Tamandua tetradactyla: one gene and its partners. The protein of the gene in region 4 binds, or shares a complex with, the protein of the main gene of each other region. Links are inferred from orthologs where the notes say so. Each region holds a gene or a part of one and is shown on either strand. Other genes may lie near its edges.

Region 1 (7,423 bases), on a different chromosome or scaffold from region 4:
GGAAAGGGGGGAGGACACAGGTGAGACCCAAAAAGAGGAGACCACCATAGGCTTGAGTTCCTGCCACCTCTGCTCAAAGCTGAAGACTTGCGGAGGGGCCAGGGAAGAGGAAGGGAGGGGAACGCTGGGCTGGGGCCCAGTTCAGAAGTGGGGGCCAGCTGGAAACCTGCTTCCCAGTCTCTCCCTTCTGCTTTCCTTCTTATCTCACAGGCAACAAAGAAAGCCGAGGAGCTGCTGGAGCGCCATGCAAAGGGGCCTCTGATTGTGGACACAATCCCCACTGAGTCCCTCTCAGTGAGTGTTAGGGGAGGGGGCTGGAGGGCTGCCCAAGGGTCTGGGGAGGGGAAAATTGTGACTGGAAGGTAGCTGGGAGTCTGGGTAGCTATGGGCTCACCTCTGTCCTTCCTTGCCCAGGTGCTGGTGAAGGTGGTGCGGCAGCTGTGTGAGCAGGCCCCCAGCACATCTGTGTTGCTCCTCAGCCCGCGGCCCCTGGGGAAAGTGCTGTGTGCCTGTCAGGTGGCCCAGGTGAGGGAAGCAGAGAGCAGCCCCGCATCCCCACCCATTTCTTGATCCAACTCTCTGACTCCACTATTTTTATTCCTCCCTAACGAGGAAGACAAGGCCAGGTAGAGGTTATCTATGAGGACAAGCAGGATAAGGCAACCTTCTATCCCTAAAGACCACCTACCTTCACCCCCAGAGACATGCCTCCTCAACAACTTCACCAGAGTATAATCAGAATGAGATTCCCTAATTACCAGCCTACTCCCGCCCCCCCCCCACAAGCCTCACATCCCTTGCAAACAAGAAGCAAACATTCATTAACCTCTGCACACATGCCCAGCCTTTCTGTCTCCTCAGTGATTTCCCCCAATATGGAGAGGGGGTGTGAATCACCTGTGATTTCATCTCACAGGCTGAGTGGATGGTGGCAAGGAAGGCTGTCCTGTATGACTTCACCTTCTGTTTCTGTCCCCAGGATGCCACACCCACCTTCACAGCAGAAGCCTGGGCACTGGCAGTGTGCAGCCACATGGGGGGCAGGGCCTGGGGCTCTGGTGTTGTAGCCCAGGGCACTGGAAGCACTGCTGACTTAGAAGCTGTCCTCAGCACCGCCCAGGCCTACGCTCTCAACCAGCTGTAACCCAGGCCTGTCCAGGAATCTGCATGGACTGAAGAGATACTGGACAGGCAAGACTAGGAGCCCTTGAGGAGTGACCAGACCCCACAGAGGGTGAGGCAGAGGCCTGGAGGCTGAGACTGAGCAGCTGAACTGGAGAGGCCACTCTGGACCAGAACTTCCATGGACACAGACAGATGTGGGCCAGGGAGAGCAGAGGGAGCCCAGAGCACACCCCCACTGAATGAATGTGAAGACACAGGCAATCATGGCTGTGACTGTTCATTATAAAGTGTTTCACAGAAGATCCAGAAGTTTCTTTTAGTTAAAAAAAAAAAAGCTGCCTTTCTGCTCCCACCTGTATATCTGCCCCACCACCAGGTCTGTCCCCTCACACGGGGCTGAAAGGCCACCAAGGGTCCAAATCAGGATCATCTTCATCACCAAGTGCCAAAGCAGGTTCTTTCAGGTACTCACAAGGATACTGGCCCCCAAGATTCAGAACAATCATGTAAAAATCAGTACAGTGGGGCAGACCTGGTGTTCATTTCATAACGGTGACTTCTCATTTTTAATTAAGACACTGCTCATTTGTTGATAAATTGAGCAACAGGTACTAGCCAATGGCTGAGAATGTGGTAAAAACCAAACAGACAAAAATTCCTACTCTGGTGACGCTTACTGCTAGTGGAGAAAACTAGCAGTAAACAAGAGAAAGAAGAGGATGTCAGATGGTGATGAGGTCTGTGGGGAAAAATAAAGTATGGAAAGAGGATCAGGAGTGTGGAGGTGGGGTTACTGCCTCTTCAAGAGGCGGCATCTGAGCAGAGACCGGTAGGTGAGGGTGTGAGCCACGTGGCTCTCTGTGGCAAGGCCATTGCAGGCTAAGGGAAGCACTGGTGCAGAGGCCCTGGGATGGGAGTGAGGCAGTCAGTGTGGCTAAGCACAGTGAGCTGAGAGAGTGGCAGGTGACAGGGTCAGAGAGACAGTGGAGGCCAGGCCAACCTTACTTTTTTTTTTTTATTAATAAAACCAATCAACATACAATATGCACATTCTTTTTTTCATCACATAATTGTATATTCATCATTTCTTAGAACATTTGCATCCATTCAGAAAAAGAAATAAAAAGAAAACAAAAAAATTCATACATATCATACCCTTTATCCCCCCTTTCATTGATCACTAACATTTCAATCTATTAAATTTATTTACATTTGTTACCCCTATTATTTATTTATTTTTAACCCATATGTTTTAATCACTTGTCCATAAGGTAGATAAAAGAAGCATTAGACACAAGGTTTTCACAACCACAGAGTCACACTGCAAAAGCTATATCATTATACAATCATCTTCAGGAAACATGGTTACTGGAACACAGCGCTACATTTTCAGGCAGTACCCACCAGCCTTTCTGTTATGCCTTAACTAAATAGGTGGTATCTATTTAATGCATAAGAATAACCTCCAGGATAACCTCTCTACTCTGGTTGGACTCTCTCAGCCATTGACACTTTATTTTGTCTCATTTCTCTTTTCTCCCTTGTGGTTGAGAAGGTTTTCTCAATCCCTTGGTGCTGAGTCCCAGCTCATACTAGGATTTCTGTCCCATGTTGCCAGGAAGGTCCACACCCCTGGGAGTCATGTCCCACGTAGAGGGAGGGGGAGGGCAGTGAGTTTGCTTGTCGTGTTGGCTGAAAGAGAGAGGCCACATCTGAGCAGCAAAAGAGGTTCCCTTAGGCCTAATTTTAAGTAGCCTTAGCCTATCCTTTGTGGGGTTAAGTTTCATATGAACAAACCCCAAGATTGGGGGCTCAGGCTATTGCTTCAACCTTACTCTTTTTCAAACAAATTGCACCACATCTGCCCCCAGGCTGAGCTGAAGCTGGAAACAGGGTCTAAAATTGGCAGCTCAGAGGAGGAGAAAGCCCTCCTTGCCTAACAGAATGAACCCCCCCAGGACTGAGCCAGACTCTGGAGCTCTCTGTCCCCAGTCTATTGTTAGATAAAAAGAAAGGATCTCAGGAGACCCATCTTCAAATAAGTGTTCCCTGGCTACCGAGTTCTGCGGCTATCTAGTAAAAATATTAGAGCAGGTAGGTCCTCCTGGCATCACTTCATTCCTTACCTGATTTCTCACTCAAATTAAGGCACTGATAACTGGTTGGGAAATCACTGATGAGGGCTTCTAGGGACCCACATCCCTGGTGCCTGGCCCCTGACTGCTCACCCCAGCCCTTCGGGGCTGCAGAGCTTTATTTCGGGATCTGGGTAGTTAGAGCAGACCATTATTCAATGGTGCTCACCCAGGCCCACCCAGCCTTTTATGAGCTCCATGGCCACTAGAATGAGGACTTGTGGTACCCCCATTTTACCAAGGAAATTGAGTTTCTGAGATGCTGGCTTATCCAAGGTAACCAAGGAGTCATTGGGAGAGTGGAAATCAAAGTTAAGCTCTGTCTTCAGGTGAAACTCTTCCTTCCACCCTGGCAGCCTCTCCCCTTCTGAAGGACAATTTATTTTCCTTACTAGTTACCGGTCCGGGAAATCAGAGGCACCACATCCTATCACCCCAAGGTTGTGGGGGAGGAAGGGTTGACACCAGGCTTGAGGCTGTATGAAGGAAGGAGCTCTATGGAGGCCTGGAACCTTCCTGCCTCAGGTGCCAGATACCAGCCTTGTTTACAACCTAAAGAGAGATGGAAGTTGCCACCCTTCAGGGATGCAGTAGCCCAGAGCTCACTTAGGGGGTCTGAGTCAACACGATGCCTCAGAGGAACTCCAATAACTCTTACAGGTATGCTGGAGAAAGTCCTTCTACCCCCTCATCTTCCAGAAGAAACATTCACTGAGCTTTTCCTAGACCATCTACTCCCCACCACCCCAATCCCCTGTAACCACCCCACCCCCATTTCCAGGCAAAATGTACTAAGGAACAAGCACTTGTGTCCAGGTGCCCTGCCACATCCTCCCACCCACTTTCTCCACGAATAGCATACCCATTCCTAGCGTCGCCAAGGAACACAAAACCACCCCAAGGCCCCAAAGTTCCCACTAAGCAGGCCCACGCAGCAGGCCAGGAGGAAGCTTCCTGAAGCAGGGTCCCGGCCGCCTTGCGTGCCAGTTAATCCTCGCCAAGGCCAGTGGCGGCAACCACAACAGAGGAACAGGCTTCTGCGCCTCCACGACACACCTGGGAAACACGGGGCCCACGCGGCGTACACGTGCACGTGCACACCGGGCCTGGGGCCCGGGGGGGGGGGGGGGGGGGGGATGCAGAACGCCCGGCGTTGACCCGCCCCCTGGCAACGCCCGGCGTCCCTAACGACCCCTCCGGCCGCGCCGGGCCTGCTCAAAGGCGAGCGCCAGCACTCCGAAGGAGCGGGTGAGGCGACCTCCCTGACGGGGGACACTCAACCCCCGGGGCCCCTAATGGGCTGAACTCTCCCCGCCCTCCCCCTGGACGCCTCTCCTACGCCCCAGAGAGAGGACGGGCGCTCTGATCCCTCACAGGCCTGAAGCCCGAAATCCGCAGGCAGCCATCGTCTGGACTCCCCACATTTCTCTGGGTGAGGAAGGACAGGTTTGTAGCTATGGGAGCTTCCCACCCATTTGGGGCGGGACTCGTAGTTCCTCCTTAGCCGCAGTCACTGTCTGCAAACTGGCCCAGAGGGTAGGAGTCTGAGTAAGGGATGGGGAGTGGATGCGGGGGACCATGGGGAGAAGGAAAGGGCAGGGCATCGGGTAGGTGTTGGAAGAGAACATGGAACAGAGCCACTGGTCCTAAGCCTGGAGCCCAGGACTCTCAGAAAGGCTGACACCCAGCCCCAGCTCCCCAGGCTGCCATCTCTCCTGCAAATCCACAAGCTTCCCCATCCCCCTCCCTCCCACCGCCTGGCTGGTTTCCCTTGGTTACCCAGGAGACAGCCGGAGCCTCTAAGGCCCAGATGGGGTGGGGGAGGAACTCGCTGACCTTTGGAGCTGAGCTTCCCTGCTGGGGTATCTGAGTTGAAAGTGAGGGGTTAGGAGCGAAGTCGCTGGAGTCTCTTTAGAGACAACAAACCCAAGTGGACAGGAGTTCGGAGAGGACCCAGGTCAGGGGCTGCGATAAGTGTGCTGACCTGACTGGACTATTTTACTGGGTCAAAGACCAAGCATGCTGGTCTTGGGCTCTGTCCAAGAAACTCTTTTGTCCCCCTTCTTGTGACTCCACTATCTGGGAATTTGGGAGTGACTTATACTAGATAAATTCTGACATGGTGGGCATGAAAGAGATTACACAGGAGGTGTAGAAAAAAGCTCATCCTGAGGATGAATGCCTGGGGAGAGCTTCCTTAGGGAATCTGGAATGGGGGCGAAGCTGGCTAAGAGGGCCCAGAAAGCACAGTCAGAGAGGTGGGTAGAGACCCGGAGGAGTGGTGCGTCAGGAAAGTCCAGGAGGAGAGAGGCTTTAAGATGACATGGCAGGCCATCCCAAAGACTCCAGTGCCCCCTGGAGATTGACACGTAGGCACACTGCCCCTCAAGGGGCCTTTCCCCAAGAGAGCATTGAGATTGGAGGCTAGATTTCAGGAGCTGGAGGAGAGCCCCTCATCTTTCAGGGTAAGAACGGGAGGATGCCGGGTCAGAAAGGAGGAAGAAGCGAGGCTGTGGCTGGAAAAGGCAAGGTCAGTGTCAGGTGAGAGACGGAAGTGGTGGGGACAGGATGGAAGCCGAGATGGTCAGCAAGGAGTGTACGTGGGCACAGAGTTACTCCAGGGTCTAAAGAGGGCCAGACACCACATCTTCTCAGCTAAGAGGAAGGGAGGAGAAAATAGTTGAGCACTAGGGATGTGACAGGGGCTGGAAGGTGAAAGGACTCTCCTCACCCCCTAACATCTTGAGCCTACCCTTTCAGGCAGGTTGGCAGAGGCTCTGCCCAGAGTAGGTAGTTTTACTCTGAGGCCTTGAGTCAGGATGGCGAAAGTCTGAGACTTCCTTTGGGAGGAGGAAATGTGCCAAAGATTCAAGCATCATACCCTGATCTGGGAGGAGAATTGAGGGCCGTGTGTGAGCCAAGGGTCAAGGACAGCACAGTTCTGCAGTGTTCTTCTAATCCCTTTAGGAGATCACACCAAAGGAGATACGCATTGATCCAGCTTTTGAGGGAGATTTCTGTGTCTGGCAGTGAGCTGGGAGTGAGGAGGCCTGGGCTGTTAGGTCTGCACAGCAGGCACCAGGCTGCTGACAAGGAGAGAACTCCTGAGCTGGGGACTATGAGATGCTCTTTGAAAAGGGCTGTGAATGACCAAGTTGGTGGCAGGTCTGAAGCAACAACAACATATCATTACTTATTTTATTTTTGTGCATGGAAGTGAGAGCAGGAGACGTTAACTCAAACTTCGGCCTCTCCATTTACTAGCTATGTGACATTTAGCAAGTTCCTTAAGTTTTCTAAACCTCAGTTTCCTCGTTTGTGAAGTGGAGATAATAATTTTAAAACTGAGGATTTAATAAACATATGTAAGTCCATGGTGAAAGTCTCCCTGGCAATATGGGACAAGACCAGCTGGGGCAAGTCTGGCCCTGGCACCGTGGGATCAACACCACCTTCCTGACCAAAAGGAGGAAAAGAAATGTAACAAAATAAGGTATCGGTGACTAAGAGAGTTCAACTGGAGTTGAATATCTATTCTGGAGGCTACTCTCATGCAACCTTTAGCTAGATATTGCTAATAATCACAGTTTGCCAAACCCCAACCAAAATCATTCCTATTAACTCTAAAGAATACCTAAGGCTCTGAGATTCTACAAAAGTTTCACATACTAAAATTACTTTCCAGAAACCTACAACCTCCAGATAGGGTCCTAGGCCAGATAAGTCCTAAAACCCAGAGGGGCCAGCCAGCCTCTCCAAGGACCTCAACTAGTTCCATCCCCCTATCCCGTATTATTGACACCCCTTTACCACATGAAAAAGTTAGAAACGGCAGAGCCCAATACCCCTAGAGACTGGTAGAAGGATCAAAGGCAAAGTAGGAATTATAACAGAAAAGATAGGATTTGACAAATGAGTATGACTCCTGAATAATTATATTGATATTTCTTTTAGTCTCCAATGCCTTAGAGCAGCTAGAAGGAAAAACCTAGAATTGTGGAACAGTAAGCCATACCAAACTCTGAAATCTGTTCTATAACTACTTGTTACAATGTACTTTAACATTAATTGCTTTTTTGTACATATATGTTATATTTCATAATAAAAAAATGTTTAAAGTGAAGGTAAAAAATGTATGTAGGTAAGCAATCGAACACCATCAT
Region 2 (7,610 bases), on a different chromosome or scaffold from region 4:
TGATTATAATGTATACCTTAATTTATCACAATATAACTCAGAATAATACCAACCTAACTTCAGTAAAATATAGAAACTGGTCTAAAATATCTCCTTCACCATCCTCCTCTTTTGTGTTGTTATTGTCACCTTTATTACATCTATACATATTATAAACACAACAATAGAACATTATAATTATTGCTTTATGTAATCTGACATCTTTTAAAGTAGTCAAAGGAAGAAATGATAAAAATGTTGATTTTTTTCGATGTCAGTTTATCATACATTCCTTTAATTCTTTAAACATGGTTTCCTTTAGTTATTTGTACATATTTATAATAGTTTCTTTGAAGTCTTTGTGTGCGAAATTCAATATCAGAGGATTCCCAGAGATAGTTTCTATTGACTGCTTTTTTCATCTTTACACTTTTTTGTTTCTCTGCCTGCCTCATAATTTTCTTTGTTGACTATTATACATTTTAAATAAAATTTGCAGCAACTCTGATTCTCTCTCTCTCTTTTTTCCCTCTTAAAAAACTGTTGTTTTGCTTGTGCATTTGTTAAATAAGTTGCCTGGACTACATGTGTGAAGTCAGTCTCTCCCACGATGCACAGCAGCTGCTGTCTCTGCCCATTTCTTTTTCTTGTTTTTATATTTAAGCCTGGCTTCCTAGGGGTTGCCCCTGTGTGTGCATAGCTTAATGTTCACCACAAATTGGTCAGAGGTTGTGCTCCAACACTTTCAGCCAGGAAGGCTTTCATTCTCTGCTAGGGAGAACAATGTTCAGGTTGCTTTCAAGCCTACCCTGGCTTTTAATTTCTGCCAGACCTCCTTGTGTCTCCTCTGCAAGTGTGTACAGGCTCCGATGGCCAGGGATGCATAGGTGGTTGGACCTGCTCTATTCTCTGCTATATATATGTGCATCGCCTTGGTCAATGCAGGATATGTGGAGAGCTTATTAAGCACCCTATAGCTGTCTCACATCTCAGGATTCTAGGTTGCTGATCCATTTTGGCTCCAAACAGGACTGCAGCCTTGGGCTTAGTGGAGTTGCTGGCCCTCCCTGTTCACTTGCCACCGAGGTTGCCACTTCAACTGCCAATGCTCCAAATTAAATAAGCCCCCTCAGGCAGTGACAGTGAAGCTATTAGTTTTCATGGCCTGCCTGCCCTGATTGACATATCACACTGATAGAACTGGGGGGAGGGGGAATAGAAGCAGCCACTGGTAAGTATGCCACAAATTTGAAGTTCAGTGGTTTTCATGTACAAATGCTCTCAGTTTGTTCTATGCCTTTGATCAGTTTCCAGAGTGCTGAGATAGAACTAGACCGTTTCGCCCAGCTTTATATTTGCTTTTTGAGGAGAGGATCTGTTGACTTCCTTGCTTCATCACGTTGGATATGACTGTTCATAGGTGTGATTTCACATTTTTCTGTATGTTATTTGATTGTTTATTTCCCACATTAGGCTTCAAGCTCCATGAGGGGAAGAATGCAGTTTCCTTTACTGATTGATTATTCTATACCAACACCTAGAGCAGTGCCTGGCCCTTACTGGGCACTCAGTAAATACTTGTTGAATATATGAATACTTAAAGGGATGGAAGGAGAGAACTTCCTTGGAGCTGTTTTAAGCAGGAAGAGTCATGGCTAGATGTGTTTTAGAAAAAAAGTTGTTATTATCATTAATAGTAGTAGTACTATTACTACTTAGTCCAGTTTGATAAATCTGCTAGAATGCGATGTACCAGAAATGGGTTGGCTTTTACAATGGGGATTTATTAGTTTACAAATTTACAGTTCTAAGGCTGCAAAAACGTCCAAATTAAGGCATCAAGAGAAAGACTCCTTTTCTGAAGAAAGACTGCTGGCATTCAGGATCCCTCTGTCATAGGGAAGGCACACAGCTGGCATCTGCTGGTCCTTCACTCCTGGGATTCGTTGCTTTTGGCTCATGGTTTCAGTGGCTTTCTTTCTCAGCTCCTGTGGGTCCTTCCTGATTCTCTGGCTATTTCTCTCTCTAAGCTCTCTCGGCTTTTCTGTCTTTTATGGTCTCAAAAAGGACTCCAGTAAAGGAGTAAGACCCACCTTGAATGGACTGGGTCACATCTCAGTTGAAACAACCTAATCAAAAGGCCCACCCAACAATAGTTCTGCACCCTTAAGAATGGATTAAAAGAGCATGGCCTTTTCTGGGGTCCACAACAGCTTCAAATCAGCACACCACTTTTTCCTGAGCACTTACTATGTTGTTGGCCTCTGTGCCAAGCTCTTCATTGCCTTACCTCATTTGATCTTCGCAACAAACTCTTTGTCTGAAAGTATGTACAATGAATCACATTTTAAGGGTGGGGATGGGAATTAACTTCTGAGGTCTGCACGTAAGTAAAAAATTGGTGTAATCAAAATGACCTAATTTAAACATTCACACAAGATGCCTTTGATTGCATGCCAGCCCATGGTTGTCGGGTGGAATGGTAGGAGACTATAAGCTACCCTCTTACCCCGTAGCACCTATGTTTGACTTGAAATAAATGAACTATGATGTGCCTCCACTTGATTTAGCTGGAGACCCGAGGAGGATGTGCAGGCGGTCGAGAGGGAGGTCCAGATTGAGGAGAGGCAGAGGCTGGAGAGTAGGGTCCTGGGGCTCGGACGAGCTAGGGATGGGGCTACTTCTTTATGGAGCCAAAGGAGGGCGGGTTAGTTCCTATTCCATATCTCCCTCTCACCTCTGCCTACGCACACACCTGATCACTCACCTGTTCGGAAGCCTCCAGGTCTCTGCCCACAGCTAATTCGGTGGCGCCTGCGTTGCTAGGTGACCAGTCAATCTCAGGAGGCGGGACTCGGCATCTGACTGACTTTCCTTTTCACCATTCAATTTCTTATTCCGCTCAGTTCGCCCCACCTCCTGGTATTTGACCAATCAAGAGCGCCGTCTCTCTGCCTCTGCACCAATTGCAAGAACCGGGACTCCCTCTGGGTTGGGCCAACGAAGGGGGGGAGGGAGGGAAGAGGAAAAGGGCGGAGCTTCTACGTCCCTCCCCTGCCGGAGGAGGCCGGCTGGGAGTGCTGCCCTCACCGCGGGAAAGGATTGGGAAGGATGTTAGGCTTAGCCAATCAGAGTTCAGCATGGCATCCAGGCTAGCCAATAGGCGGCGGCAAAGGGGGAAATGGGGGCGGGGCCTGCGGGGTTAAGGGGACTAGGCGGCGGGTGGGAGAACTGGCGCAGCTGCCGTGGCGGCTTGGTCTGGAGTGGCGGCTCATGGAGCGCCAGCAACAACTCCGCCCCGGGGCTCTGGCGGCCGTGGCGACGGGCTGGGTGCGTGGTGCGGTGTGGACCCCGGCACGCGGTCCGGGTGGCTGGGGCGGCGCGTGTAAGAACCCGGGGGCGCGAGAGCTTGGTCTGAGGGAGAGGGCAGGGGTAGGAGCCCAGGCAGGCGCGCGAAGTGAGGGGTTGCAGCAGGGCACCGGGAAGTGGGGGCCGAGGGGAAGTCAACGCCGCGCTTCGCTCCCTCCAGCCCAGGCCGCGGCTTTGCACCCTCTCTCCTCGCCACCAGCTCCCGGACGACCCCCGCGCGGGGGTTCAGACCAGGGCTGGAAGCGCGGGGAGCTGGAGCTGGCACTCCTGCCTCTTGCCTCTCCCTCGCCCGCTCATCCCCCTCGTGCCCTCAGGACGTCCAGTACGGCGCTTGTGCCTGGGTCCGGCTGCCCCAGCTGGCAGCGGGATACCTGCTGACCCCCTTTCCCCGGGTCCCTTTCCCAGGGTGACCCTTACCCTCCTGCGTCCTAGGTAGAGGAGTAAGCAAGGCGGATGAAAGGGGCACTCGGCTAGGACTCAGGAGTCCTGCGTTTTAGCCCTGCCTCTGCACTGTGTGACCTTGGGCAAGTTCCTTCCCCTCTCTGGGCCTCACTTTCCCCCATCAGCAAAATGAGGGGTTTGAATCCAAATTAGGGAACTGGTTCTGGGAGGAGGGTAGTTGTGAATCCTGTTACCATAGGGTAGTAAGGGAAGAGGGTCCCTGACCTTAGTCTGGGTTGAAATCTGGGCTCTTCTATGAGGCAAGTTAAGTAAACTTCACTAAGCCTCTGTTCCCTCCTCTGTAAAGTGAGGATGTTAGCTATGAGGGCAGCACTGTTGACATCTTGGGCTAGAGAATTCTTTGCAGTGGGGATCTGTCTGGAGCTGCTGTCTAGTTGCATCCCAGACCTCTACCCGGTAGATGCTGGTAACCCCCTCGTGCCCTGACTCTCCCCACAAGTTCTGACTCTCAGAAATGTCTCCAGATGCTGTCACATGTTCCTGGGTTGGGGGGATTGTCCCCAGTTGATAATCACTGAGCTAAGGCAATGTAAGCAAGCAATCATACGTTAAACAGTTAAAATGAAAATGTAGTCATTATGTTAATGATGATAAATCAGAAAACCTGTTCTTGATGAGTTGAGAGGGTTAATAGATCCTTCCAACCCTCAAATACAGGAGAGGATGGTAAACTGTTGGTAATTTGTTGAAGCTGGGGAATGGATGCAAGGAAGTTCATTTACATATATTTGAAAATGTCCACGGTAAAAAGTTAAAAAGAAAAAAACAACACATAATTCTTGAATAAGACAGCTTGATCGTAGCTTCTCATTTGAATTTCTCCTTCTTCTGCCTCCCCATTACTGAGATCTAAAAAGAAAATAAATCCCCAGATTTGGAGGAAACATTAAAAAAAAGAAAAAAACTCACAGGAAGTTTGCTGGGCAGAGGTACAGGCTTTGTGGCAAGTTGAAGGGTGTTTACTTTTGCTGCCTTGTTTTAAGATGTCCTCTTCCCTCTTGATTCAGAGGGAGCTGCCTGAAGTTATTTTGATGGCTTGCGGAAGAATTCAGCTGCTCAGTTGTCATTCATTAGGTCAGTTTGGAGGCAAAGTTAATTGATCCCAAATGGTAACAGCTTGAGGAAGGAACCTGCCAGCTGTTTTCAAGTTCAAAGGTCTGCGGTCATATCTGCTGAGTCTTTGCTTTTCTGTTGGCTCTCCTAAGAGGAAATGGAAATGCGATTAAATAGGAACTCTGAAAGTCTGTTGTGAAGGTTTTAAATTGTAACCTAGGGACAAGCACTTTTGTTATGTGACTGGATCTCTTTTCAGTACCTTTGTCCTCCTCAAACACCTAAAGCTAGGAGAGTAGGGCCTAGGATATGGACAAATGGAGATCACCTGCCATGCTCTGCAGGTCACTGAAGCTGGATGCTGCTTAAGAATCAGGGCTACTACTTTGAGGAATTGAACTGAAGAGCTAAGAGCACCATTCTGAAGTCGGACTGCATAGTTCCAAATTTGGCCTTCTGACTGTGGGTTCTTGGTCAAGTTACATGCCCTCTCTGTGCCTAAAGTTTCCCTCTCTGTAAAAGGGGAATAATAATCCGACCTATCTCACTAGGCTATTATGAAGATTGACAGCTTGTATTTATAAATTGCCAGAAGAGTGTCTGGGACATAGTATGCACTCAAAAGAGTATTAACTACTATTATTTTTATTTATTTATTTATTTTTACATGGGCAGGCACTGGGAATCGAACCCGGGTCCTTGGGCATGGCAGGCAAGCACTCTTACTTGCTGAGCCACTGTGGCCCACCCAACTACTATTATTTTAATAGTTGTATTTTTTTTTTTTGAGTCTTTAAAAAACTTTTAAAAATTCACATAGACACGGGTAAGGAAGGAATGGAATGTATTAATCACAAGTTTACTTTCCAGATATAAGTATGCTTAACTTTTCAGCATATGTTTTTGCAGATGTTGGGGGCATATACTGTACTATAGTTTTCTTTAAATTGAGATACAATTCGCGTATCATAGAATTCACCCTTTTAAAGTGTACTATTCAGTGGTTTTATTTTTAGTATCTTCACAAGGTTGTAAAACTGTCAGCATTAATTTCAGAATTTTTTTTTATCAATAATGGTTGTATTTTAGTAATTCTTTCTTTTCTTTTTAATTCCCCAGATCCTAGAAGATGCGTCTAATGGAGGTGTGTCTGAGAGGCACCTCTGAGGCTGTGGCTTTTAAAGGGATATCAAGCCAGAGACTGTTTAAAGCCCTGGACATCACATCCTGAGGTCTGCAGGAGAGAAGAACATGGCCGTGAGTTTAGATGACGACGTGCCCCTTATCCTGACCTTGGACGAGAGTGGCAGTGCCCCACCAGCCCCCTCCAATGGACTTGGCCAAGGGGAACTGCTTAACAAAAGTAAGACACTGAGGTGGGCTGGGGGAGCGTGACTCTTCTGTTTCTGAGTGCCAGGGACCATGTGGGCTTTATGGTCCAGTAGGAAAGGTGTTGTACCCTCTGGGCAGACACCCGTATTTGAGCTTCAAGTTCTGACTCAGAAGTGACTCCTAGGAAACCTTGGGATTTCTAGTCCCATCCACAAGCTTTGTGATGCTTTTGGGGCTAGCTGGCCCTCTGAGAGCTCTTGCTTCTCTCTGCCACTTGCCTCCCTTGTGCTGTGGATACCTTGACCTTGTCCATGGATGCTTGGCTGGGATCTTGGTCTAAGCTCCTTGGCTAGCTGCCCCATTCCTTGTTAAAAACAAAACAAAACAGATTTCACCACCAGCCTCCCTCTGTCCCAATCTGAAACCATTGGCAGGAAGGTAGAGTTGAGTGCTTCTTTCCACTTGAGCTCAGTCTGTGCCTTGCCCAGGACAGAGGTGGAAGGGGGCAAGCATTTGTTGTGAATTCTGTTGACCTGCTCAAGTCAGCCATTGATCTGAGGGTTTTTGGTTTTGCTCTGTCTTCCTCTAAACCAAAGCCTAGCACAAAATGAGGCCAAGAGAGGTTGTGAGCTTTACATTTTTAAATTTTAAGTGTGTTTCTGGCAGAATGAGAGGCCTTAAAAACCTTTCTGGTCTTTGTCCTGAAGCCAGTTGCTTCATTTCCTCAGGCCTTAGCCTCAGGAGAAGCTTAAAATAACTTATTTTTAGGAAGAGTCCTAAGACACTGGAGATAGCGCTTTGGGGTCTCCTTAGCAAATGGATGTTCCACACATCTGCCAGTCTTCAGCCAGGACGGTGGGCTTATTGCTCTTGTCTAGTTCACAAGTGAAGACACTTATCTCCTTCTCTGACCTATTTCCTTTGTCCAGAGAGAACACATTTGGGTTGCAGAGAACTCAGCATTTTCCCCGTGGAAGTAATGAAGGAGAGCAGTGTTCCTTGGGGATGGGAAGGCAGTGATGGGCTTGGCTCCCTACAAACTGGCCTCTCCTTGCTTCTGCATGTTCACCCCCGTCTAGAGTGGCAGAGCTGGGTGGCTCTGGTTGAGCATGGTGCAGGAGGGTTAGAATGTAAATCAGATGTTTTCCTAAGAACCATCCAGGACTAGAAAAGCAGTGGCTCTGATTGTTAACTTTTCTTATATTGCCTAGAACTGTCAAGCTAAGCATCAGGCTTTAACTTTCTGTTATGTAGGTCCCTTTTGCAAAATAGGCAGTATTATCCCTATTTTATAGAAGGAGGAACTATGGGTCAGAGAAGTTAAGTCACTTGCCCAAGGTCGTACCATAGCCCACATAGTGACTGGACAGTGATTTGAACCCAGAACTGTCTGACTACAAAGATCCTTCCCTCCT
Region 3 (7,052 bases), on a different chromosome or scaffold from region 4:
TCATTCTGCACCTGAAAGTCGGTTAACTGAACACGTTTGTAAAGTAAGGGCTCGTCTGAGGCACGATACATGGTTTCTACACCATAATCTCTGTCTTTGCTATGTTATTTCAGACATCAAAATAACACAGACACTAATCATCCATGCAGAAAACCTCCATAGACTTCAGGATGAGGAGGACAGAAACAGGAATTCCACCCCCTTACATTCGAGGGCAGAAGGAGATGGTTCTGGAGGGAGAATAAATGAGAGACACGCTTCAAGACTAGAAGAAAAGTATTCTCCAGACTTGGAGCATGTGCACATGATACCTGACCCTGGGTCACAGTTGCTATAAGCACCTGAAAAGACAAGCCTGGCTCCTCTCTTTTCTCTGTAATGTCTGAAGGATCCAGAAAAGTACCCAGAAGCTGCCAAGGTGCAAAATAAACATGAATTGGCCTCTTCCTGAACCTGCCTGCTGCCCAGAGGAAGGACTGTTTATTTCCAGATCTCATGGCTACTTCAGCCACTCTGCTCCTGATGACAGGCAATTGACCAAAAATGTTGAGGAAGACAAGAATGGAGAGAGGCGTCTAAAGAAAGAGTCTGCAGGCCCCTTAATCCTCCAGGGGAAAGCCCTGAAGTTTCTTCTGTTTTCATTCTAGACAGTCAGGTGTCCAGAGATCCAGATGGCAGTGAGATGACAAGGCTCCAGAATGGCACAGGACTGGAGGGAGGGTAGGGGCCACCTGACTTGTCATATTCACTTCTCCAAATTTATTTCTCCAACCACTCATGACTCTAGCAAGATGCAAGGAAGTATACTCAAGAGGTAGGCAACCCCAACATTGCCCAATAAATAATTAGAATTAAAAATTAAGCAGAGTACCAAAAAAAAAATCTGCTTTAAAAAATAAGCCATGCCAGAAACCAGGGTTGATTCCCATGGCCTGCCCATGCCAAAAAAATTTTTTTTGCTTTAAAAATTAAGCGGACTGATAAATAAATGGGAACTCCTCAAAATTAAATACTTTTGCGCATCAGAGAACTTCATCAAGAAAATAAAAAGACAGCCTACACAATGGGAAACAATATTTGGAAACGATATATCAGATAAAGGTCTAGTATCCAGAATTTATAAAGAGATTGTTCAACTCAACAACAAAAAGACAGCCAATCCAATTACAAAATGGGAAAAAGATTTCAACAGACACTTCTCAGAAGCGGAAATACAAATGGCCAAAAGGTGCATGAAGAGATGCTCAACTTCCCTGACCATTAGAGAAATGCAAATCAAAACCACAATGAGATATCATCTCACACCCACCAGAATGGCCATTATCAATAAAACAGAAAACCACAAGTGCTGGAGAGAATGTAGAGAAAAAGGCACACTTATCCATTGTTGGTGGGAATGGCAAATGGTGCAACGGCTGTGGAAGGCAGTTTGGCGGTTCCTCAAAAAGCTGAATATAGAATTGCCATATGACCCAGCAATACCATTGCTAGGTATCTACTCAGAGGACTTAAGGGCAAAGACACAAACGGACACTTGCACACCAATGTTTATAGCAGCATTATGTACAATTGCAAAGAGATGGAAACAGCCAAAATGTCCATCAACAGACAAGTGGCTAAACAAACTGTGGTATATACATACGATGGAATATTATGCAGCTGTAAGACAGAATAAAGTTATGAAGTATTTAACAACATGGAAGAACCTTGAGGACATTATGCTGAGATTAGCCAAAAACAAAAGGATAAATACTGTATGGTCTCACTGATATGAACTGATATTGGTGAATAAACTTGGAATATTTTGTTGGTAACAGAGACCATCAGGAGATAGAAATAGGGTAAGATATTGGGTAAGTGGAGCTGAAGGGATACAGATTGTGCAACAGGACTGAATATAAAAACTCAGAAATGGACAGCACAATACTACCTAACTGTAATACAATTATGTTAAAACACTGAATGAAGCTGAATGTGAGAATGATAGAGGGAGGAGGGCTGGGGGCATAAATGAAATCAGAAAGAAAGACGATAAAGATTGAGATGGTATAATCTCGGAATGCCTAGAGTGTATAATGATAGTGACTAAATGTACAAATTTTGAAAATGTTTTTGCATAAGGAAGAACAAAGGATGCTGAAAATAGATGGTAATTAATATTTTAAAATTTCAACTTATGTGTGAGACTAAAGAAAAAAAATGATTATTTGGTACAAAATTTATATTTTGACTAGTGCATTTCCTAATATAACTTATGTAGATAGCTTGCTTGAACACCATAAGTACTTGGAACCTTGGGTAGGACATGGGATTTTGTTGGTTTGTCCAGAGTGATGCCCCGATGAATCCCAGAGTGATTTGAACAGTGAGTGGAAAAGTATTTGCAAAGTCCCCTTTGGGGAATAGTGAGAACGGGGAGAAATTCAACTTCCCCAAGTAGAATTCTTGATATTCTCACAAGCAGTGTGGACAACCAAAGCTATAGGCTAAGCCCCCAGTCTTGGGGTTTGTTCATATGAAACTTAACCCCACAAAGGATAGGTCAAGCCTACTTAAAATTAGGCCTAGAAGTCACCCCCAAGAGAGCCTCTTTTGTTGCTCAGATGTGGCCCCTCTCTTCAGCCAACACAACAATGAAACCCACCACCCTCCCCCTGTCTACGTGGGACATGACTCCCAGGGGTGTGGACCTTCCTGGCAACTTGGGACAGAAATCCTACAATGAGCTGAGACTCAGCATCAAGGGATTGAGAAAACCTTCTCGACAAAAAGGGGGAAGAGTGAAATGAGACAAAGTGGCAATGGCTGAGAGATTCCAAACAGAGTCCAGAGGTTATCCTGGAGGTTATTCTTATGCATTAAGTAGATATCACCTTGTTATTCAAGATGTAATAGAGAGGCTGGAGGGAACTGCCTGAAAATGTAGAGCTGTGTTCCAGTAGCCATGTTTCTTGAGGATGACTGAATAATGATATAGCTTTCCCAATGTGACTGTGTGATTGTGAAAACCTTGTGTCTGATGCTTCTTTTATCTACTTTGTCAACAGATGAGTAGAACATATGGAATAAAAATAAATAATAGGGGGAACAAATGTTAAAATAAATTTGGTTTGAAATGCTAGTGATCAGTGAAAGGGAGGGGTAAGGGGTATGGTATGTATAAATTTTTTTTCTGTTTTCATTTTATTTCTTTTCTGAATAGATGCAAATGTTCCAAGAAATGATTATGATACTGAATATGCAACTATGTGCTGACATTGTGAATTACTGATTATATGTAGAACAAAATGATCAAAATAGGAATGTTTGCATTTGCTTTGTGTTTTTTGGTATTTAAAAAAATAAAATTAAAAAATTTTTTTAAAAGTTAAGCAGACTGGAAACAAGATCAGATAAGAACATTAGAGGGAGCTCCAATCAACACTGTGCTGCAGGGAGCTTGGCAAAATTTTTTCTCAGAACCTCATTGAAAATCAACCACGTAAAAAGTGAGATTAATACACCAAGAGAGAAGCAACCCTTGTAAATAATCCCGTTAAACCCAAGCATTTTGATTTACAAAAATCAAAGCTTTAAAGACCAGCAACTTGAAGCTGAAACGAAGTTGAATGGCTTGCCCAGCTTTAGGAAACCAGAGGAAGGACTAGAACTCGCATCTCTTGTCTCTCCGGCCAGTCCCATTTTCTCCACACCCTGGGCAACATGGGTCCATCTCCCCTCTGTGTCTCATTTCTTTGAAATGGGAAACTCTCCTACCTGCTTCTTGCATCTCCCTTATACACCAGAAAAATGCTTTTTACTGAAGAGGACCTTGAGTTTTAAGCCTAATAATGTCATTTTCCCGATGGACCCTAGAGCTGTAAATTGCCCAAAATGGCTATCAGGAATCCTTTTTCTCCACATCAGCACAACACTATTATTTCTGATGTGTAAAGCTTGTAATTTGTATGTCTCCAAATTGCAGACTTCCTACATGGAAGTGAATCATAGCAAATTGGCTCCAAAGTCCTTTCTCCTCAAACCACACTTTGAATTTGGGAATAAGGAGAGGACTGACCCTCTGCAATCTTAGTGTTTTAAGCCGAGTGAATTAAAATAGCCCATTCTACCTTCCTGCGAGCTCTGTGTTTCCCAGTTGCCTGGACAACAGGCTGTCTCTAAAAACCCAACCTTCCAGTTCTCAGTCCTGCCCCCGTCGGAAATCTGCCACCCTGGATTGGCTCATGGAACGCTTCCTCCTCTTTGGGTTCCTGCTGGTTGGACTTTTTTTCTGCCCTTCCTCAAAAGGGTCACTCCGCAGGGAGACGCAACAGAGGCAAGAGAGGATTCTAAAGGTAGGAAGAGGTGGAGTGAGGGAGATGGGGGAGAAGCAGATACTGAGATTCATTTTTCTCTAAAAGAGGGTTGAGAGGGATGACTTCTGTGTAAAGACCCAAATGGATAGAAAAAAACAGCTCCATGTAAGAGTCCATAGAGACCAAGAACTGAAGCTTCTGGAAAGTGCAAGAAACAGAGTTGGAGACTAGAATTCCCACTTTCCTGGTGTTACCGGACAAAGGCAGTGAATTCTTTTCCCCAGTGAGTTCAATAACCAATTCCTGAGACACCGGGGTTGCAAAGACAGAAAATGTTTATTGCTAGGCAGGAAGCAGACCAGATGGCCTATCAGCCCAAAATGTGTCTCCCTGAACTGCAGTAATTCTGAAAGTTTTATAGTATCATAAGATGGGCAGATTTTAGGATAAGGAGCACAGTGGCCCCACATGATGTAATTAGAGGTGATCTGATTATTGAGCATGCACAGATTGATTACATACTTAGTCACAGAAGGTATGAAAGAAAATGGTGACTTTAATATGCTGATTGGTATTATAATTAGGTATCAATGACTTGTAGGTTAAAGTCTAACCTACTGCACATGTCAGGCAGGCCCATTTTTTATTAGCTCCACCTCCAGTAATCAAGGTAACTTTGGATTTTGATTGGGTTAGTTCTGGGCTGACCCAAGACTCTTCATTAATAAACATTAGGGGCTGTCTTTAGTGATAACAAGACTGGAGACTCTAGAGTCGAAAAACAGGAAAAATGGGTACACGTGACGGTTAGTCACAAATTTTTACAATCACAAAGGACACAAGATAAAGGCTACACATCATTATCAGAGGTCAAGGCAGCTGGATTCCAGTTCAGAGATTTCAGGTATTTCCCTCTGTCTACTCCAGTGTACTAGAAAGCAAAAAGGAATTTCTATATAATGATTCGGCAACCATAATCATTCCTTAAGTCCTAATTTTTCAGTTATACCAGGACTCTTGGTTCAGCCTAAAAGTCAGAAAAGCATCCCCGTGTCCAGACGTGAATACCAGTCTTCTCCTTCTTCTGGATAGCAAGAAGATGCCACCTAAGACCAAAGAAAAAGGGCTGAAAGCTGGGGCACAGAATAAGAAAAAGAATTCAGGTGCTGGTGAGTTGGGGGGGTGCCCCCCACTTCTCCATGCTCTGGCACAGAGACCAGCACCGGTCCTCCAGAGACTATTTGGTCCTCTGTATGATGAGATGGAGCTTTCTTGACCCTCCCCCCTCATATCTTCATATCCAGGTTCCATGGAGGTGGGAAATTGGGGAAAATCAGTCATTTGACCCCTCCCTTGAGTCCCTTCTAGCTCAGGTTCAGCTCTGAGCCTTCCGTATATATTCATCACATATATTTTGAATACCCACTCTATGCTAGGCAGTGAGGATGCAGTGGTAACCTCAGACCTCAGGAAGAAAGGAAGTCCAGAGATTGGGTGAGGAGGGGAGGAGAGTCGCGGGAGGAGGGTACTGAGAGCAAGACCAAGGGCTTGCAACCCTCTCCTCTGTCAACTTGCTAGGGCAGATGTGGAAGCCGAGTCCAAGCACAGGCTGGAAGTGCTGGAGAAGGAGTTGCTCCGAGACCAGTTGGGTAAGAAGGGCAGGAGCTCCAAGAGGCTACAGGGGTGGGGCAATGAGGTATTTCTGTTTCCACCACCTCCTCTCATCCTCAGGGATTGGAGGGTTGGAGCTATGGTTGGGGGTTAAGCTAACCTCTAACCATTCCCTAATGGGAAAACACTGTTATGAGTTGAGATCGTGGTGGGGAGGGGGTGGGCATTGAGGTTTGATGAGAGAACTAGGGAGCTATTTTTACAGCCAGAATGTGAGAAATTTTTGCTCCTTAATAGTGAAAAGTCTGTGAGATTCTGAGAGGAGGGGGTGGGTGGCACCCAGGTGAGAATGGGAGGCTAGATGCTCTACCTCCAAGTTTCTGAAAGTGGGCAGGGCCAGTCAAAAACACGGAGCTGGCTCAGTGGGGCCCCCAGTCAGATCTGAGGGCTGCTCTGGGACCACCCACAGCCCTGCGGAGGGACGAGGCCCGCCAAGCCAAAGCCTCTGAAGACCAGCTGAAGCAAAGGTTGCAAGGGTTGGAGGCTGAACTGGAGAGAGCCCGAAGTGAAGGGAAGGCCGTATATGCAGGTATGTGGTGGGTTTAGCGGGTGGGCAGGAGGCAGGGCTCTGGAAGAGAACAACCAAGAAGAGATACATTTGCTGTGCCCAGTCTCAGGACAAATGAGGCAGATCCTAAAAAACCCAAAGAAGTCCTCGGGGATCCTAGGCAGGGATCTTCCAGGATCCCTGATGCCATGTGCTTGATGCTTTGCAGGTTATGCAATGTAGCAATAGCCATTACCCCATTGATTCCATGGGAGTGAATGGGACAGCTTAGAATCCCTATCCTGGGCTGGAATGGGGAGAGGGGTTTGGTTTTCTCTCCCTCCCCCGGGTTTTCAGGGACTCCCAACTTCTCAGAATCTCTCCAGAGGAATCAAGAAGGCTTTTATGCTCCCATCCCACTGGACCAAGCATAAATCCCCTGGGCCCTCCTCACCTACAATTTAATCTCCTTTCTCCATTCTTCCATCCCCACTGAGTCGCTGCCCCCACCCCCACCCCGTCCCTCCCATAGAGATGACTCGCCAGTACCGGGCCCTGCAGGAGAAGATGGAGAACCGCAGCAGGTGGCTGGAGGAGGA
Region 4 (7,159 bases):
TTGAATTTTTAAGTTAACAATTCTAAAATTTAACTTATTTTATTTTTTAGCTAATACAACTATCACACATTTTTAATCTAGGAAAAAAAATTATACTAGGCCAAGGCACAAAATACGCTACAAATCAGCATAATAACTTCAATATACGGAAGAGTACAGAAAGGTTTTACAAGAGTATGATAGCCAGGTGGGCCACGGTGGTTCAGCAGGTAAGAATGCTTGCCTGCCATGCCCAAGGACCCGGGTTCGATTCCTGGTGCCTACCCATGTAAAAAAAAAAAAGAGTATAATAGCCCCTGTACTAAATTTAGTTCATTTTTCCTATCAATATTCTCCATACTTATATCAGTGCTAATCCCTAAATGATGAAGAGGAGCTGACTACCCAGAAACTTACTGCTCCTATATAACTGCAATATATCTCAAAATTAAGATGAACTATTTAAAACATGTTTCTATTAAGAAATTTTTAAGATACACTAGTTAATACCATGGCCCTCTGAAAAAAAAAATTGTTGACCCAGATTAAATATAAACATAAGGCTTTAGTAGTAAGGAAAAGAAAAAAAAAACAGAAATTAGCTTTATTTTATTAAATTTTATTATTTATGTTTACTTAGATATAGAATATTAAATAAAGTTAGTTATGACCTTAGTTAACACATCAACTGACTTTGATGACTTCAGATGATCTAAATTCAAAATATTTATTTAATGCATACTTCAAGGAGACACTGCTGTACATTGGGTATAACAGATCAGAAAAGGTCCTTGACCTCTTGAAACTGATAATGGATACATGCTTCAAAACTATCCTCTTTTGTTTGATTCTATGCTCATCAAGCAACTTCTGAAATATAAATTCAATCTCCCCAAAAGTTTAATACCCATAATATAGTGTATTACATTGCAGAAATCAGCTTTCTGGTAATTGTATCAACATACTCTTATTTAAATTATTAAATTATCCAGGTTTGCAAATCAGTCTTTCATGAGTTTCATTAGCTTAATTGAATTCCCAAAGCCTGATCAATTCTGCTTAGTCAAGTTAGAAGTAATTTCTGAAACTTCAAACCTGAGAATCAAATATAGGAGTGGAAAATGTCCATTCAAAGATCAATATCACCAAGTCTCTAGTTTATCCTCAGACAACATAAGATTATTTCATCATGCCCTTCAAAATGCAGTTATAGTTAATTCATAAAACTGTTAAGAATAAGTGGCATATACTATCTAACAGTGCGCCTCAAACTTTAAGGTGCATGTGGGTCACCTGCAAATATGTTAAAATGCAGACTCTGATTCACAATGCAGAGCCTGAGATTCTTCATTTCTGACAAAGTCCCACTGCTGCTGAACCTTCTGCCCACAGATTGGGTTTGAGTAGCAAGGGTACAATACCTGGCACAGTGTCTGGCACAAATGCTGCTCTACCTAGTAACCTGATCCCTCCCATTTGTATATGATTCATATTCCTCACTAAACTCACCTTTCTTGGAAGGAGGGACCAGGTCTTGTTCATCTTTGTCTCCTCCAAAGTTCTAATCTAAGCAGAATGGCTTCCATATGTTAGGAATTAAATATATGCCAGTGAATGAATGGTATCCAGCTTTTAACAGTATTACTTCTATGATTGTGTACAGAATTTTTTCTTTCTCTGAATTAATTTATTTTAAATAGGAAAACATTTTTGAAAATTGAAAAATCAGGAAAGCTCTATTTAAAAAAAGTAAAGATAGCGTAATTGGAGCATAATCCAGTGCTTTTTGATTCTCATGCTGTTCTAATCAAATCACTTTTTTAAAAAATCCATAATTAACTTAGAACATTTATCTCTTAATGATTTTTCCATTTATTATAAATAGGAACTTAGAATATATAAGAATAAATCATTCCTTTTTCTGGGGAAGGTTTAAAATTTATCTAGAAAATATCTCATACTTCTGTAAGTATAACAGCATCATAAAATTATAATTATTTTAGGAAAGGTAACATCTATTTAACAGTCCCGCATTCTCAGACTAACCATACCATGAAAAGATCAAAGAGTATTACTGTTATCAATAGGCAGATCTTTGGCACCGTTTCATTTGTTTCTCCTCTGCTGATCTGATCACCATGGCAAGGGACTAAGCATCTAGGGGTCAGTTTATTCACTTAACCTGACCTGACTTTGTTCCATGCTGAGAAAAACAGAACGCTGATATAAGTCTTCGAGCGCTCCAGAAAGGACACAAAGGTGGAATATTGTTTTCATTTCTAAGTTACCTCTACTGCTTTATCACTTTGTTTCTGCGGTGACTTTGGCAATTAATAAATATAAACACTTACTTTTAGTAGTAACTACGAGGCAACCAAGGTAACTAAGGGTCTAGTTTAAAGGTCTAGTTTTAAGTCATACCGCTGAGTGAAAACAATGTAATGTCTTGCAAATAACCTTGGATAATCAGTTTTTCCTTTCTCAGCTCTCCGGACCCGGCAGACCTTAAGCCGCCCGGCCCAGTCTGGCCCGTGCCAGCGGCGACCGCGCGCTGGGGTGGCTGTTCCCGCCACGGGACCGGGGGGGACTCTCTGCCTGCACACGGGGGTTCGTACGCGTTTCCCACGCGATTGGGCCATTTCGTCATTATTGAAATTGCTGGATTTTGATTTGCTTTTATTTATAAGACGGCAGGCATTTTCGGGGCCAGGGAGGCGCGCAGGAAGCGGCGGTGACCTCCAGGCCCTCCTCCCACGTCCTCACCACAGAGGCAAAATGGTGGCCGCAAAGCCATCCGGCTGGGCCCGGGAGGGAGTTCGGCGCGACCGAAAGGGAGCCCGTCAGATCCTGGCAGCCGGCGCCCGTCCTGCCCAGCCACCCGGTGGTGACCGAAGCCTGAGCAGCTGCTGGCGTGGCGCCTGCGGCACCGAGAACTCCGGGCAAGGCGACGTCCCCAAGAACGTGAACAAGGCCGCCATTATTGCCTTCGCCCGTCTGTCCCTCAGCCCGACAGTTGAACCGAGGCTCGGGCCTTCGAGGGAGGGGCGGAGAGGGGGAAGAGAGGGAGGAGGGAGGAGGGAGGAGGAGTGGGGAGAAGGGGGAGGCGGGGCCGAGAGTCCGCCCGGGAAGCACCCCGCGCGGGGGCGAGGGAAGCCTCCCTTGCAGAGCTGGTCGACCGGTCTTCTCAATCACCTCTTTCTCTGTGGTGGGGATACAAGATGAACGGCGAACAACCCCACTCCCCATTTGCCTGTGCACCCCGGGGTCGCAGCGGCTGCAAGGGCAGCCGCTCACCCAACGGCGCTTACCTGTGCGCTCCCTCTCCTCCGCCATCTTGTCGCGGAGTCTGTCGCCTGGGAGATGCCTAGCGTTACCCAAGGTCGTGGCGTCCTTTTCCCCGCTCCGGCCGCACGGCGAGCCGGGCCTAGAGTTCGAGTCTCTAAGAATCCCAGGGAAGGAAGCCCCCGGGGTGGGTGGGGGAGACCGGGCGCGCATCCTCTGCCCTGCCCGCCCCGAGCCTCTCGCGGAAGCCGGTGCTATCGCCCGGGCCCCAGTGCTGCGCCAACCGGCCCCTCAGCCTTTTCTCCTCTAGCGCAAGGCCTGGGCCCTGATTTTTCCGGCCTGGGGTAACTATTTGATAATTTCTCGAACCTCTCCTTTCCCTTTTTCCCGACTCATTCGGGGACATCACGCGGACACACTGCCCTCGCCCGCCCCTCCTGTTTGTAGGATGTGTGCACACGGTTTTTGCTGCAGATTTTAAATCGCAGCCGAGAGCCTGATGAAGAGGCCGCTGCCCCGGCGGGGCCGGCACCCTCCCGCCGTCCAGCCCCCTCGGCCTCCGCACTCACAGCGGGTCCACGCTGGGGAGCGGCCCCGGCGGCTGCAGTGGGGCCGCGCCACCCCAACCCTTCCCTCCGGGCTTCTCCCTTCCAGTCCTCCCCGCCCTTTCCAGAACAGGCGAGCGCACAGCCTGTGAGAACTGAAGCTAAAACGGAAAACTGGGCCGGGTGCAAGGGGAAACCAGCGCCATTAGACTATTGCTGCTAGAGAAGAGAAATAGCGCTAGAAAAACGTGTAAAAACAGGCGCAAACATTGCGTCGTCAAGGCTGCAATTCTGAAACAAAATAGGTTCTCTTAGCAACAAAAATGTGCCAGTATTACATCTTAAACTGTTCTTAGTTGTGAAATTTGAGATGACCTCCAGTGAAAGTGGCTATGGAAAAGCGTTCAATCTTGCTTTTCTGGAATTTTGCAGTTGTGTTTAACTTTTTAGTATGTTATTTTTAAGACTAAATTCACGCTACTACATTATTTTCTTCTTAAAAACGTTTTAATATGCCTAATGATGTGGCTCAAATACTTATTTTAAAACTAATGTTAAATGATACTTAGGTGTATATGCTGTACTAATGTAAATGACGTGATGAATGTAGAAGCAATTTATCAACTATTAACTAAATTTTAAGAGATAATTTGTATTTAATGCAAGATACTTCTATTTAATTATTTTATTAACACTGGTTTTATGCTCATTTTATTCTGTATCTAAAATCTTAAACTAAAACCTAAAGCAAACTGACTATATTCTTTACTAAAGTAAGGTTTTTACTATAAAAGGTATCCATGTGCGGACGGGCAACGGTGGCTCAGCAGGTAGCGGTGGCTCAGCAGGTAGCGGTGGCTCAGCAGGTAGCGTTCTCTCCTGCTATCCCCGTGTCTATCCATGCAAAAAAAAAAAAAGATAGGTATCCATGTGGTTCTATTTGAAATTGGATGGTTCGATTATCATAATATTTCTTATCAGAAGATATTTATATGAAATAAATACAATTACATATAGTGAATTCTTAACACCCAAATATAAAAGTAATTATTAGCATTGTATTAGCTAATTAATTATTAGCATGTCATTTATGTTAAATCTCACAGTCATTATGGTCTAGTTACTTGTCTTTAGACTCTCTTTCTTCATATAGATAATGAAGGGCTTTAAAATAAATGTAGAAAGTCCCAACTCTCCCACTGCAATTTAAACCCCAATTAAACTCCACTACTTACTCACTGTGCCTTTTTATATGCTGTTTGCAGTTTCCTATTTCTTAAGTACCTTTCTTCCCTCTCTTCCTTCGCCACAGTTCACCATCCCACAGACACATATTTGACCCTTCCTGGTTGTTGATCTCTTTGAAGGTTACCGCCTGGAAGTTTTCTCTATAACCTCTTCCTCTGGGGGGGCCGTACACATCTTACAGAGCCTCTCCCAATGATTTGCAATGATTTACTTATTTCCTTCTACCAAACTGTAAATGCTTCAGGCTTTATTCATCCATATATCTCTAGTTTGTAGAAAATGTTTCAATTTTTGTGTCTGAAATAATATATTTTAAAAAATTAAGACTGGAGTTGGTCTCCTCAGTGATTTTCTTCAAGACCCAGAGTCAACAGACTTATCCCAAGTAAGACATTTTTCTATTATATTTTTGTATCAGCAAACTTACTGGCTGCACATGTTAATAAAATGGAACTCATATATAAATAAAAACCAAATTATTTTAAGAGTTGAACAGATTTTCTGCAAACTCCCTGCTCAATACTTTTAAATTTGTGACTAAATCTAACACCTCAGCAAACTTTTTATTTAAATTACTCTAAACCAGATTAATTACTTCTCTGAATTCCTAAAGCACATTTCAGAAAATGCTATTTCTTTTGGTTTGGATGAGTAAAAAATATTTAATATATATTAACTCCTTCTCCTTATTAAGTTTGAAAGTGTTCTAGTTTGCTAGCTGCCAGAATGCAATATATCAGAAACAAAATGGCTTTTGAAAAGGGGAATTTAATAAGTTGCTAGTTTACAGTTCTAAGGCTGAGAAAATGTTCCAATTAAAACAAGTCTATAGAAATGTCCAATCAACGGCATCCAGGTAAAGATACCTTGGTTCAAGAAGGCCAATGAAGTTCAGGGTTTCTCTCTCAAATGAGAAGGCACATGGCGAACATAGTCAGGGTTTCTCCTCTGGAAAGGCACATGGCGAACAGGGTCATTTGCTAGCTTCTCTCCTGGCTTCCTGTTTCATGAAGCTCCCCAGGAGGAGTTTTCCTTCTTCATCTCCAAAGGTCGCCGGCTGGTAAACTCTCTTCTTTGTGGTGTTGCAGCATTCTCTGCTCTCTCTGAATCTCCTGGCTTTCGCTCTTGTTGTTCTCTTTTATAGGATTCCAGTAAACTAATCAAGACCCACCCAGATGGGTGGAGACACGCGTCCACCAAATCCAGTTTAACAAACACTCTTGATTAAATCACATCTCCAGGGAGATGATCTAATTACAGTTTCAAACATACAATACCGAATAGGGATTAGAAGAAAACGTCTGCCTTGACAAAATGGGATTAGGATTTAAAACATGGCTATTCTAGGGTACATACATCATTTCAAACCAGCACAGAAGGCAAGAACCTAGTCTTATAAACGCAGCGTAATTGGGGGCACATAATAGCTGCTTAATAATACTTTTGAACTGACTGTGATTAGCTGATTAGAGATCATCATTCTGGAAACCTTTCCAGAAGGTGAAAATGGTTATCCAAATAACAAATGCTCACAATGCCAGTGAATAAATGATCTGTACAATGTCATTATTTGACTTGATTTTACACTTTTTTTGGTTGTGGAAACCTGACTCTCTTGATATATTATACTTTTAATTCTTTTTAAATGATCATTAGCTTGTTTTAGACAATGGTGAACTAGAATCTTTTCTTTCATGTGATTTTTGTTTCTGTACTATAGCTTGAGTAACTTTGCAATTTTGTGTACTGCTAAAGCATTTTTCCCCCTAAGAATCTCACAGTAATTTTCAGAAACTAAGAAACAGAGATATTTTTGATCCTTCTCATGGATACTATATAAGCTTAAAAGAGTATAGTTTTAGACAGTGATACTTATTTGATTATTCCATAGGACCAGGTGGACATGTACAGGTTATGTCCTTATGTCCTTTTCTTTTTCTTTTCTTTCTTTTTTTTTTTATTTGTATGCATGTGGCAAGAATCAAACCCAGGTCTCCAGCATGGTAGGTTATGTCCTTTGCATGCCTGAATTTATAGTGGATTAAATCTATTCAGACAGGCTTTAGCACCATGCCCTGGAGGGATGCAGAAAATATTTATTCTGA

The links.
Region 1: DRC8 (region 4) and DRC5 share a complex: the UniProt entries of both Homo sapiens proteins name them as parts of the nexin-dynein regulatory complex. The link is inferred for Tamandua tetradactyla from reciprocal best matches to the Homo sapiens genes DRC8 and DRC5.
Region 2: DRC8 (region 4) and DRC10 share a complex: the UniProt entries of both Homo sapiens proteins name them as parts of the nexin-dynein regulatory complex. The link is inferred for Tamandua tetradactyla from reciprocal best matches to the Homo sapiens genes DRC8 and DRC10.
Region 3: DRC8 (region 4) and DRC12 share a complex: the UniProt entries of both Homo sapiens proteins name them as parts of the nexin-dynein regulatory complex. The link is inferred for Tamandua tetradactyla from reciprocal best matches to the Homo sapiens genes DRC8 and DRC12.

Annotation. Positions count from the first base shown.
Region 1 is NC_135331.1:101,910,275-101,917,697, reverse strand, and holds the start of DRC5 (dynein regulatory complex subunit 5), read left to right. Parts: upstream 1-4,418; 5' UTR 4,419-4,508; exon of another isoform or gene 4,509-4,706; intron 4,707-7,423. Other genes in the region: AARS2 (alanine--tRNA ligase, mitochondrial), read left to right, coding at 211-294, 415-525, 980-1,144. UniProt on the Homo sapiens protein: Component of the nexin-dynein regulatory complex (N-DRC) a key regulator of ciliary/flagellar motility which maintains the alignment and integrity of the distal axoneme and regulates microtubule sliding in motile axonemes.
Region 2 is NC_135331.1:13,883,546-13,891,155, forward strand, and holds the start of DRC10 (dynein regulatory complex protein 10), read right to left. Parts: upstream 3,014-7,610; 5' UTR 2,747-3,013; intron 1-2,746. Other genes in the region: TPCN1 (two pore channel protein 1), read left to right, coding at 6,115-6,226. UniProt on the Homo sapiens protein: Component of the nexin-dynein regulatory complex (N-DRC), a key regulator of ciliary/flagellar motility which maintains the alignment and integrity of the distal axoneme and regulates microtubule sliding in motile axonemes.
Region 3 is NC_135334.1:21,541,781-21,548,832, forward strand, and holds the start of DRC12 (dynein regulatory complex protein 12), read left to right. Parts: upstream 1-4,043; 5' UTR 4,044-4,223; coding exon 4,224-4,334; intron 4,335-5,298; coding exon 5,299-5,464; intron 5,465-5,878; coding exon 5,879-5,944; intron 5,945-6,375; coding exon 6,376-6,495; intron 6,496-6,985; coding exon 6,986-7,052. UniProt on the Homo sapiens protein: Component of the nexin-dynein regulatory complex (N-DRC), a key regulator of ciliary/flagellar motility which maintains the alignment and integrity of the distal axoneme and regulates microtubule sliding in motile axonemes.
Region 4 is NC_135333.1:16,560,433-16,567,591, reverse strand, and holds the start of DRC8 (dynein regulatory complex protein 8), read right to left. Parts: upstream 3,005-7,159; 5' UTR 2,627-3,004; coding exon 2,401-2,626; intron 1-2,400. UniProt on the Homo sapiens protein: Component of the nexin-dynein regulatory complex (N-DRC), a key regulator of ciliary/flagellar motility which maintains the alignment and integrity of the distal axoneme and regulates microtubule sliding in motile axonemes.